Xenopus tropicalis: one gene and its partners. Each later gene encodes a partner of the first gene's protein in a complex. Links are inferred from orthologs where the notes say so. Each region holds a gene or a part of one and is shown in the gene's direction. Other genes may lie near its edges.

Region 1 (2,728 bases):
ATAATTGTGCAAAAATTATATGCATTTTTATATACCGGTACATCTACAGTAGGGTTGTATAAGCGGGTCAAGCCCTGATAACAGCCTATGATGCAGTAATATTCTAGTCTCCTGTTAAGAGAAAGGGAACCCTAGGACTTTAGGTAGAAAGATGCCTGTATCTTCTTTTACTGCCAACTAAGTAGCTACAAACACACAAGGCAAAGAATCTCTGTTTGTGCACAGATTCAAGATGCTAAAACTTAGATAAAGACATATTGGGAAACTTCAAGAATTTCTTTTGTGTTTCTTATTACTTGGGCTTTTAGATTGGTTCAAACCATTGCTTCAGTAAATTTTGCAGTTTGAATAAAATTAGCATGGAATAATTTAGAAAAAGGCTTTTTGTGGTTTTTTTTATGCATTTATAAGGGCTCATTATGGAATAATAAGCCCTCAAGTTTCTCACTCTAATCAGTCCTCTTTATTTATGTCCCCAGAGGTCTTGTGCACGTGGGACTTCCACCCCTGCCGATAATTACATGTTGGCGAGACGAAGGACACTGCAGGTGGTAGTTAGTTCCCTGCTCACAGAGGCTGGATTTGAAAGTGCAGAGAAAGCAGCTGTAGAAAGTTTAACTGAAATGCTACAGAGCTGTAAGTATGACGGCCTTTTATACATGTGTGTTTTTTAAATGTGTAATAATGCATATACTGCGCGCTTGTTAATTGCAATTGTACATTAAACCACATTCCACTTGTACTGTGACATCAGTGGTGGTGAGAGATACTTGTAGGTCATGTTATGAATTCTGGGGCTCTTAGAGACTACTTTCAGCATCTTGCATTTTGCTCTCGGACTGAACTTGCTGGAAGAGCCTGGCCCGTGGGCAAGTTGTGAAATATTCACCACTTGTGGATAACTTTCCTTAGGAAAGTTAGGATTGTCCAATTGTTTGGCAGTCTTTTGAAATCCCTTCCCAGAATAATAGGCATCTATAATCTTCTTTCTAAACCTTCTTTGCCATAAAGTATACTAAACTAAATGTGTAAGGTTTATGTAAGACAGGTTCCTCCAAGATCTTCTCTAATGATGTTCTAATCACTTGCATTTTTTATGTTGTTCATTTGCATATAAGTTGTCCTTTCATTTCGCTTCTCCCCACCTTAGATCTGTCAGAGATTGGACGAAGTGCCAAGTCATACTGTGAACACACTGCACGGACACAGCCCACGCTGCCAGACATTGTAGTTACTCTGATAGAAATGGGTAAGAGAGGCACATTGTTGAAAAGAGGAAAGGAGAAGTTATTTATATTTATTACATTACAGTTATTACATTTATTTGCATTGTTATTCATCACTGTTTCTTTTTGTAGGGTTTAATGTAGAAAGTTTGCCTGCCTATGCCAAGCGGTCCCAGAGGATGGTGATAACAGCACGTAGGTTGTGCAAGTGCCTGATATGAATATTGAATTATTGTCTCTATACATTGTCTAATGTATAAAAAAAAACAATGTTTAGCACAACACAGGACTACATAAAAAACATATTAAGTGACAAGTGTCATGAAACACTTGTGTAAGGGCACTGAAACTGCCCTTACTGCATTTACATTATTTATATAAATACAATATTCATAAATACACACTGTTTACTCATGACTGCTTCAGTTTTGTCCATATTTTAGCCAATTATTCTCTAACAGTTCTCTTTCTTGCAGCACCTGTGACAAACAATCCTGTGGTTCCTAAAGCTCTGAGTGCAGGACAGAACAAGCAACACCCTGCTCATATTCCAAGCCATTTTCCCGAGTTTCCAGATCCCCATACATACATTAAGACACCGGTAAGGTTGTTTTTCTTTGAGATAAATGTATGTTTATGTACTGAATGTTGCATAGGAACAAAGTAATAAATATATTGCCTTACTTTCTTGATTGACTTACTATAGAATGTACATTATCATAGTAATACTGCAAGCAGAGAACACATGGTGTGATATTACCCTTAGAAGGTGTACTTCCTTTTAATGAGAAGTGAGAAACAAGGTGGCTTTTGTAACTTCAGCTGGTTGCAGCCTTCTACTGCTTGTAAGAAGGCACAACTCTTAATCGCTGTGATAAAAGGAAAGGCAGGCAAAATAATTATTATAGGGTCACAGCGATTTTACTATGACGGTAGCAGTAAATCCTGTAGGGAAATGGTTTGCTACTGCTTTTAATGAAGGGATCCTCAGGACTTCTGAATGGGTTCTATGCTATGTATTATTTTGTTTATCTGCATTAAAGTCCTCTCCTTAGACTTATCGTGAACCAGTATGTGATTACCAAGTCTTGCGTGAGAAGGCAGCATCACAGCGTAGAGATGTGGAAAGGGCCCTCACCCGATTTATGGCTAAAACAGGCGAGACACAGAGTTTGTTCAAAGATGACACAAGCACCTTTCCGTGTGAGTTAATTGTATTACAGTCATATAAAAAAAGTTTGGGAACCCCCTCTTAGCCTGCATAATAATTTACTCCACTTTCAACAGAAAAGATAACAGTGGTTTGTATTTAATTTCTCAGGAAATGGGGTGTTTTCTGAACAAATATTTTTAGTGAAGCAGTATTTAGTTGTATGAAATTAAATCAAATGTGAAAAACTGGCTGTGCAAAAATGTGGGTACCCCTGTAATTCTGATAATTTGAATGCATGTAACTGCTCAATACTGATTACTGGCAACACCAAATTGGTTGAATCAGCTTG
Region 2 (3,689 bases), about 7.7 Mb from region 1:
TCTCTCTCAGCCTCTCATCTTCGAAACAGCTAAAAAAGGAGCGAGTGAGAGATTTTGAGTACTTAACCCGGCTTTGTTATTTGTTTATTGTAGGCATGTGGCAGTATTACATACATTGATACTCTTAAATAAAAAAAAGTATCAGTCCTCTGCGTGATCACTAGGCGTTGCCGGGAAAATAACCCTGCGGAACACAGTGTATTAATTAATACGCTTCAATATGCTTATTCCTGCTGATACATCCTCATTTTCTCTGTTTTTGAACTTAATTATTGGGCGCCCAGACCATCGATCTCTAGCAGCCCAGTTTACAAAAATTATGCTTTCGAAATCTCTTGATATCGATTCCGCACTGCAGTCCTCCACAAGGGAGACCCGCAATGTGCCATACACGGCACAAGCCCTTTTTAACTATCATCTGGTTTCTGCAACCTCCAGGGGCAGCATAACCCTTACACAACATATGGCGACAAAGTTTCGGTTAGGGAAATATCTATAATTGTATATGAGTGCTAGATCGGGATACACTAAATATAAGATAATTCACTTTCATAAATACAACAAACAGTATTTTACATTTTAATTTTATTGCCAAGCGAGGGCCATATGCAAATTATGCTAAATAGAAGGGATGATGGGACTGCCAATTCCCGTCCACAGCTACATTTAAAATCGCGAGAAAAGGTGCAATTTTTGTTTAGGTCGGCGTATTGGGAGCCATGTTTTTCGGTTTTCTGCGCATATTCTGAGTTTTGGATTGTTCCCGTTAAATAAAGTGTGGGGGGGAAGAAGAATTTGCGCATGAGCGGAAAGAATGTGTGATGTAACGTCCGCCAACAGGGAGAGAGACAGCAGAACTTAAAGCGCAGAGATTGGTATGTGGACTCCGTGATTATATTGTCGCTTTATCAGGTTTTCCTTGCGAGAATCGGGACGTATGGGATTCCCGGGTATCTCACTTTGGTGTCCCTACTCTCCCGGCAAAGCAGTGCAGCAAGTGCTAGTGCGCAGCAGGTTGTACGTAACGTACCGTGCCAATCATCTCACTCATGTGTGAGACTCACACACGGTATTATGTATTTAGGTATATTGGAACATATATACATACACACAGGAGGGTTACAATTTCAACTTGTTAGAATCCAGTTCGTTGCAACTTTCAGATATACGTTAAACAATTTCAGTGGTGTATAAATCGCTTTCAGACTGGCTCGCTGGTTATATGTATGTATGTATGTATAACTTTATTTATTAAGCGCCACAAGGGTATGCAGCGCTGTACAGTCTTACAGAATACACAATTACACACAGGGAGGACAAGTGATATAATAAATAAATACAATAAATACATATATGTATATATATATATATAAGTGCCATGTGGTATGAGACACAGTAGGAAGGAGATCCCTACCCCATAGAGCTTACAATCTAAGTGGTTGGGTAACATACAGGCACAAACTGGAAGGTAAGAGTGCACCAGGTATGGGCATCTTCTGTTCACTGGTGCGGAATCCTGAAACAATGTATTAGAAGTTAGTTGAACTGAAATGGGACTTGCTGGCTACATTGTTTCAGGAGTCTCTTCTGTTCTGAATATTTTTTTTCCTGCATTGCTTTAATGTGTAATGGGGATAGGTTACACTACATATAGCAAAAGGCAGAAATCGGTAACAAAAACAATATGCCAGTTGTTTGGTTTTTCCTTAAAGGAGACATATCCTATAAAAATGATGAATGTTCCAGTGAATTATACTCCTCTAGATATAGAAGGATTGTGCTTAAAAATGTTGTGTTTCAGACTGATTTATTGAGAAATTCCACCAAAACCCCACTAGTCCCGCCCATCTGTTCCACTTCCTGCTGGCTGAATTCTCTGGATGAGCTGGGGAGCCGCCCTCAGTACCCTGCACTGTAGGACAGGAACCAATCAGCAGCTAGGCTGACCTGATAGGGAACTGAAGCCTGTCTGTGCTTGTGTGAGGGCAGGGCTGTGATTGGCTCTCCCCCTCCTACTGTGCTTCTGGCAGGGACTGTTAGGACACGCCCACTCTCCATTTCACACTGGACAGAGAAGTGATAGGATCTATAGGGAGCTCCAATAAAGGGGCCATTGTTACAGATAGGGTTAATGTTTAGCCCAAAGGGAAACCAGCACCGTATATTATTCATAATTGCCTACAAAATAAGTGTTTTTCCCCATTTATCCAATATGTCTCCTTTAAAATTTTTGTATAATAACATACCGGTTAGGAGCATTGTCTTGCCTATAAAATTACATCAATATTACACTCTCTAAATAGATGAGAAGAAAGTAAGCTTACCTTGGATCATTTTTGAGTTATAGCTAGTAACTTGGTGAAATGTCATCGTTACTAACCCAGTCCACCTCAGTCTGTGATATATACTAATAACCTTATACAATGTGCCCAACTGATGCTGTTATTGTCTGCAGAAGGCCGGTGATGATGACGTGTGTGCTCAGCGGTTCCACCGCCGTGTGCGATGTCATTACAGAGCTAGATACTCAACTGGCTGTAAGTAAATAGTGTGTTAGCATGAGCCACTGTATAGTGATACAAAGTATCTCTGTACCATACAGCCTTATTAACCAACTTCTGCGCCGTTCATTAATGTGTGTGTGTGTACAGTACTGTATGTGCTGGTATTTAATGTATTCCCAATGAAAATCTATTCACTGGGACTCAATTAACACTGTAAATATTGAAGCTAACAGCTAAAAAATTGCTATGAGCTATTGTATTGAGGCAAATTTACAAAGTGTTGGTAAATATGCCCCTATGCCCTTTATGGTGTTTCTTCCTGACTATACTTTGCATTGGATAGTCAGGCAGAGTAGGTAAATAATAGGACTAGGTTACAGGGTCAGACTGGCTCACCATGCTACTGGAAAAAAAAAACAGTGGGCCCCCCAACCCTGTTGGGCCCTGCCACCTGAACGCCATCTTTTATTTTTTCACAGCAAGTAAGCAGCAGAGTGGGCCACTGCTTACTTGCTGTGAAAAAATAAACTTGGCGGTGTGCGTTCTAAAGTTGAGCCTATAACAGTAAGTAAGTAAAGCAGGAGTAGCTGTGGGCGAAGCAGCTGTGGGCTCCTGAGTTGGTTACCCAGTGGGCCCAGGGTTACCCAATCCAACACAGGTGTGCTTTATAGGTAGCAAAAGAGCAACAAGCTACCTAATAATTGCTTTCTACACTGGATATGACAGGTTTTTGCTTAGGGTTGTCAGTATGTTTTTATTTAGCAGACCGATTACTTTATTTGCAATAGCGGAAAAGTGAAAATAAAGCCCACATTCTTAAAGGAATAATGTCATGGGAAAACATGTTTTTTTAAAAAGCATCAGTTAATAGAGCTTCTTGAAAAGAATCCTGTATTGAAATCTGTTTTTCAGAAACCCAAACACATTTTTGTTTATATTTACATTTGAAATTTCACATGGGGCTAGCCATATTCTTCATTTCCCAGGGTGCCACAGCCATGTGACCAGTGCTCTGATAAACCTCAGTCACACTTTACTGCTGCTCTGCAAGTTGGAGTGATATCACCCCCCTCCCACCAGCAGCTGATCAGAAGAACAATGGGAAGGTAGCAAGATATCAGCTCCCAATAGATATCAGGATAGCGCTGGCTTGGGACTCCTACAGTTACATGGGAGTAGGAGAAA
Region 3 (3,758 bases), on another chromosome or scaffold:
CTTCTCATTGGACAAAACCTGCAGGGCCCCTGATCACCCCCCCCCCCCCCTCCAGTGATCCTTTGGGGATCCAGTTTCCAGTCATGACTTGTAGATCCACTAACCTATCATTTATTGGGGATTAACCCTCTAAACACTGTGCAGGGAAAATCATCACCCCATGTAGATTGTATCTATCCCTTATACAGCCCCATACCCTCTCTAGTTGCCCAGTTTGTTACCCCACAATGGGGCAGTCACATTAACCCCCGGCCATGTCCATTTCCCAAGGCCCATTGAGTACTTAGTCCCCATTACACCACTTCTTATAAATAAATAAATAATCTAGTAGAATTTCTATTTGGCTTTAACTCCCCCATCACCATAATAACCCCAATACCCCTGCCCAGATACTATACTGGGGTACTTATTGGCTCTTATACCTCCAAACACTGCCCTAGGGTAATCATTCACCCCCTATAACCCCCATTACACCCCCAACAACTCTACTGGGATAGCTATTCAGTTCCCAAGGGATATATATACTTATTTACCCATATGCCCCTCTTATCCACCCACATACCCCTTTATTTACACCCCCCTACACTCCTTCCCAGATACACAAGCTTCTCCCTGCCCATAGTCACGGGAACCACATTAGTTGTAAAACTACAACTCCCAGCATGCCCCTCCGCCTAAGCGGCACGGTCGGTAGACAGCGGATCCCACAAGCGGCAGTAGTGCGTTTGTCCGAGCCCTGTATGAGGTGTCCCACCCACCCGGTGACAGGAACGCCCCCTCCCTCCCGGTAACCCGCAGCGGGCGGCAGACAGGAGTGGCGGCGGGACACCCGCAGCAGCCATTTTGAATTGAGCAGACAAAGAGCGCGCGTTTCTGTGGCGGGGCGACTTTCTCCGCTTCAGGCGTCGCCACGCCACCCGGTTTCCCGCGCAGACCCTTCCCCGACCGCCCCCTATTTTTGTGCCTCCCTCCCGTTCCACCGACCCCGCTCGATCCCCTCCTGCCCTCCCAATACCGCTCGCAGCCATTTGCCCGCTCCTTATGTAGCCATGAAGCAGCCAATGGGAGCGCCGCTCCGGTGTGACGTAATTGCCCCGCCGCGCAGGCGCACAGAGCTGCTGCCCTCCTGAGTTGAGCGGCGGAGTAAAGATGGCGGCGGGTTCGGATCTACTGGATGAGGTTTTCTTCAACACGGACGTGGACGATAAAGTGGTCAGCGAGCTGGTGGGATCCCTGGAGTCTCAGCTGGCCGCCGCGGCCCACCAGCACCATCATCACCACCACCACCAGCAGCAACCCCCCGCCGAGGCCCGCAGCCAGGCCCTGGCTAACCATGTCACCAGCCCGGGGGTAGGGGCAGCCAGTGCGGGGGGACAGCCTGAAGCCAAGATAGGGCTCTCCCCGGAGGTGCCTAAGACGGGTGAGGCCTGGGGGCGCCGAGCTGAGCGGGCAGGGGGGCCGCGGGAATGTTTTGGCGGCCGGCGGGCTGACTGGGGGCCTTCAGGGGCTCTGCTGGGTGTGATGGGCCCCGGGAAACGCTCTGGGGGCCCCACATGGACTTCTGGAGTTGCTGCTCTTGGAAAACTGGATACTTGTACTACTTGGCGCCTGTGGAGTGACTTGGAGGGGGGCCAAGGGCTTTGGGGGGGCACATTGGCCCATAGGAAATAGAATTGGGGGTACACATGGACTCCTGGAGCTGCTGATGGCTGGCGACTGGATATTTGGGGTATCCGGCAGTTTCCTGGGGTAACCGGGCAGCCTGGGGGCATTTGGGGGGTATACTGGGCCCTGGGCAGCCTTCTGGCCAGTCTCACATGGACTCATAGAGCTGCTGATGGCTGGCGACTGGATATTTGGGGTACCCAGCAGTTTCCTGGGGTAACCGGGCAGCCTGGGGGCATTTGGGGGTATACTGGGCCCTGGGCAGCCTTCTGGCCAGTCTCACATGGACTCCTGGAGCTGCTGATGGCTGGCGACTGGATATTTGGGGTATCCGGCAGTTTCCTGGGGTAACCGGGCAGCCTGGGGGCATTTGGGGGTATACTGGGCCCTGGGCAGCCTTCTGGCCAGTCTCACATGGACTCATAGAGCTGCTGATGGCTGGCGACTGGATATTTGGGGTACCCAGCAGTTTCCTGGGGTAACCGGGCAGCCTGGGGGCATTTGGGGGGTATACTGGGCCCTGGGCAGCCTTCTGGCCAGTCTCACATGGACTCATAGAGCTGCTGATGGCTGGCGACTGGATATTTGGGGTACCCAGCAGTTTCCTGGGGTAACCGGGCAGCCTGGGGGCATTTGGGGGTATACTGGGCCCTGGGCAGCCTTCTGGCCAGTCTCACATGGACTCATAGAGCTGCTGATGGCTGGCGACTGGATATTTGGGGTACCCGGCAGTTTCCTGGGGTAACCGGGCAGCCTGGGGGCATTTGGGGGTATACTGGGCCCTGGGCAGCCTTCTGGCCAGTCTCACATGGACTCGTAGAGCTGTTGGTGGCTGGCGACTGGATATTTGGGGTACCCGGCAGTTTCCTGGGGTAACCGGGCAGCCTGGGGGCATTTGGGGGGTATACTGGGCCCTGGGCAGCCTTCTGGCCAGTCTCACATGGACTAATGGAGCTGTTGGTGGCAACAGACTAGAGATTTGTGGCATTTTAGGGTTTTGGGGGTGACTGTGGGGAGATGAGTGCTGTGTGGATCATTAGGGGGCAGTTTGTGCCCCAGGAGAAGATTTGGGGGTCCACATGAACTTTTGGCGCTACTGATGGCCTTGTTGTAGATACTTAGATACCTGGGATTTTCTGGGGGCTATAATGAGCCTTAATAAATGGACTTGGGGGGCAAGAGGCACTATATGGTCATTTGGGGGGGTGTGGGTGAAATTGCCTTATGTGGGGTATGTTCCCCGTGTACTTGGGGAGCTGGCACTGAGGGCACCGTCTATATGCCGCTCACTTACAAGGGGGGGGGGGGGGGTAAATCTTCCTGGGGGCATCATTGGGTTCTCTTGGAATGGTTTGGATTTCTGGGTGGCATGTTGGGTTGTGGGGTTGCCTAATGCCGCTTCTGAGGGGTCCAGTGGGCGTTTGCTGGTGGAACCAAGTGCTGGACCAGAGTGGGTGCACAGGGGTGGCTATCTGTATATTCCGGCGGGTGTATACCCCATAGCTCTGTTTCTTTCCCTGCTGTTTAAAAAAAAATGTCCTTTTTCTCCCACAGGAGCCGCTGTACCCGGAGTACAAGGAGGTGTCATTAACAGCCGCCCACAGACCACAGCACAGCCTGACGGGACTCAGTCTGCTATACCCGAAGCACCAGGAGCTCTTAGCCAGGCCAAATCTGGGGTTCTGGGCAACATGGCTTCCACTCTGCCCAACCACAGTTCAGGTAATGGCAAAAATGCCACCCTACAGACCATGAATGGGAGTAATGTTGTGATTAATTCACACGGACCTGGGGGTCACGGAACCCCCTACCAGGGGAACAGCAATGCCGCTGTCGGCCTGGTAAACAACGGACCGGCTCCTGTCGCTAAGGGTGGAGTGAACCCAGGAGCTAACACCGTTATCCAGACTTCTTTCCTTGGGACTACTAACGTGGCATCCTCAGTCATCTCCTCCTCATCCACATCCACTGCGGGAGCAGCTGGGCAGCAAGCTGGCATGGCGGGCGTACCCACCAGCGTGGCATTGGTGAGACCTCTGTTGCACCAGGGCGTGCCCGCCACTCAGAACGGGAGCAATACTGTGATCAATTCC

Evidence for each region. Proteins that work in one complex are often made in the same cells at the same time.
Region 2: taf8 (region 1) and taf12 share a complex: the UniProt entries of both Homo sapiens proteins name them as parts of the TFIID basal transcription factor complex. The link is inferred for Xenopus tropicalis from reciprocal best matches to the Homo sapiens genes TAF8 and TAF12.
Region 3: taf8 (region 1) and taf4 share a complex: the UniProt entries of both Homo sapiens proteins name them as parts of the TFIID basal transcription factor complex. The link is inferred for Xenopus tropicalis from reciprocal best matches to the Homo sapiens genes TAF8 and TAF4.

Annotation. Positions count from the first base shown.
Region 1 is NC_030678.2:70,729,132-70,731,859, reverse strand, and holds part of taf8 (transcription initiation factor TFIID subunit 8), read left to right. Parts: intron 1-479; coding exon of another isoform or gene 480-521; coding exon 522-636; intron 637-1,150; coding exon 1,151-1,249; intron 1,250-1,358; coding exon 1,359-1,421; intron 1,422-1,702; coding exon 1,703-1,827; intron 1,828-2,281; coding exon 2,282-2,429; intron 2,430-2,728. UniProt on the Homo sapiens protein: The TFIID basal transcription factor complex plays a major role in the initiation of RNA polymerase II (Pol II)-dependent transcription.
Region 2 is NC_030678.2:78,450,470-78,454,158, reverse strand, and holds the start of taf12 (transcription initiation factor TFIID subunit 12), read left to right. Parts: upstream 1-852; 5' UTR 853-875; intron 876-2,455; exon of another isoform or gene 2,456-2,465; coding exon of another isoform or gene 2,466-2,537; intron 2,538-3,689. UniProt on the Homo sapiens protein: The TFIID basal transcription factor complex plays a major role in the initiation of RNA polymerase II (Pol II)-dependent transcription.
Region 3 is NC_030686.2:4,389,986-4,393,743, reverse strand, and holds the start of taf4 (transcription initiation factor TFIID subunit 4), read left to right. Parts: upstream 1-1,135; 5' UTR 1,136-1,149; coding exon 1,150-1,420; intron 1,421-3,219; coding exon 3,220-3,758. UniProt on the Homo sapiens protein: The TFIID basal transcription factor complex plays a major role in the initiation of RNA polymerase II (Pol II)-dependent transcription.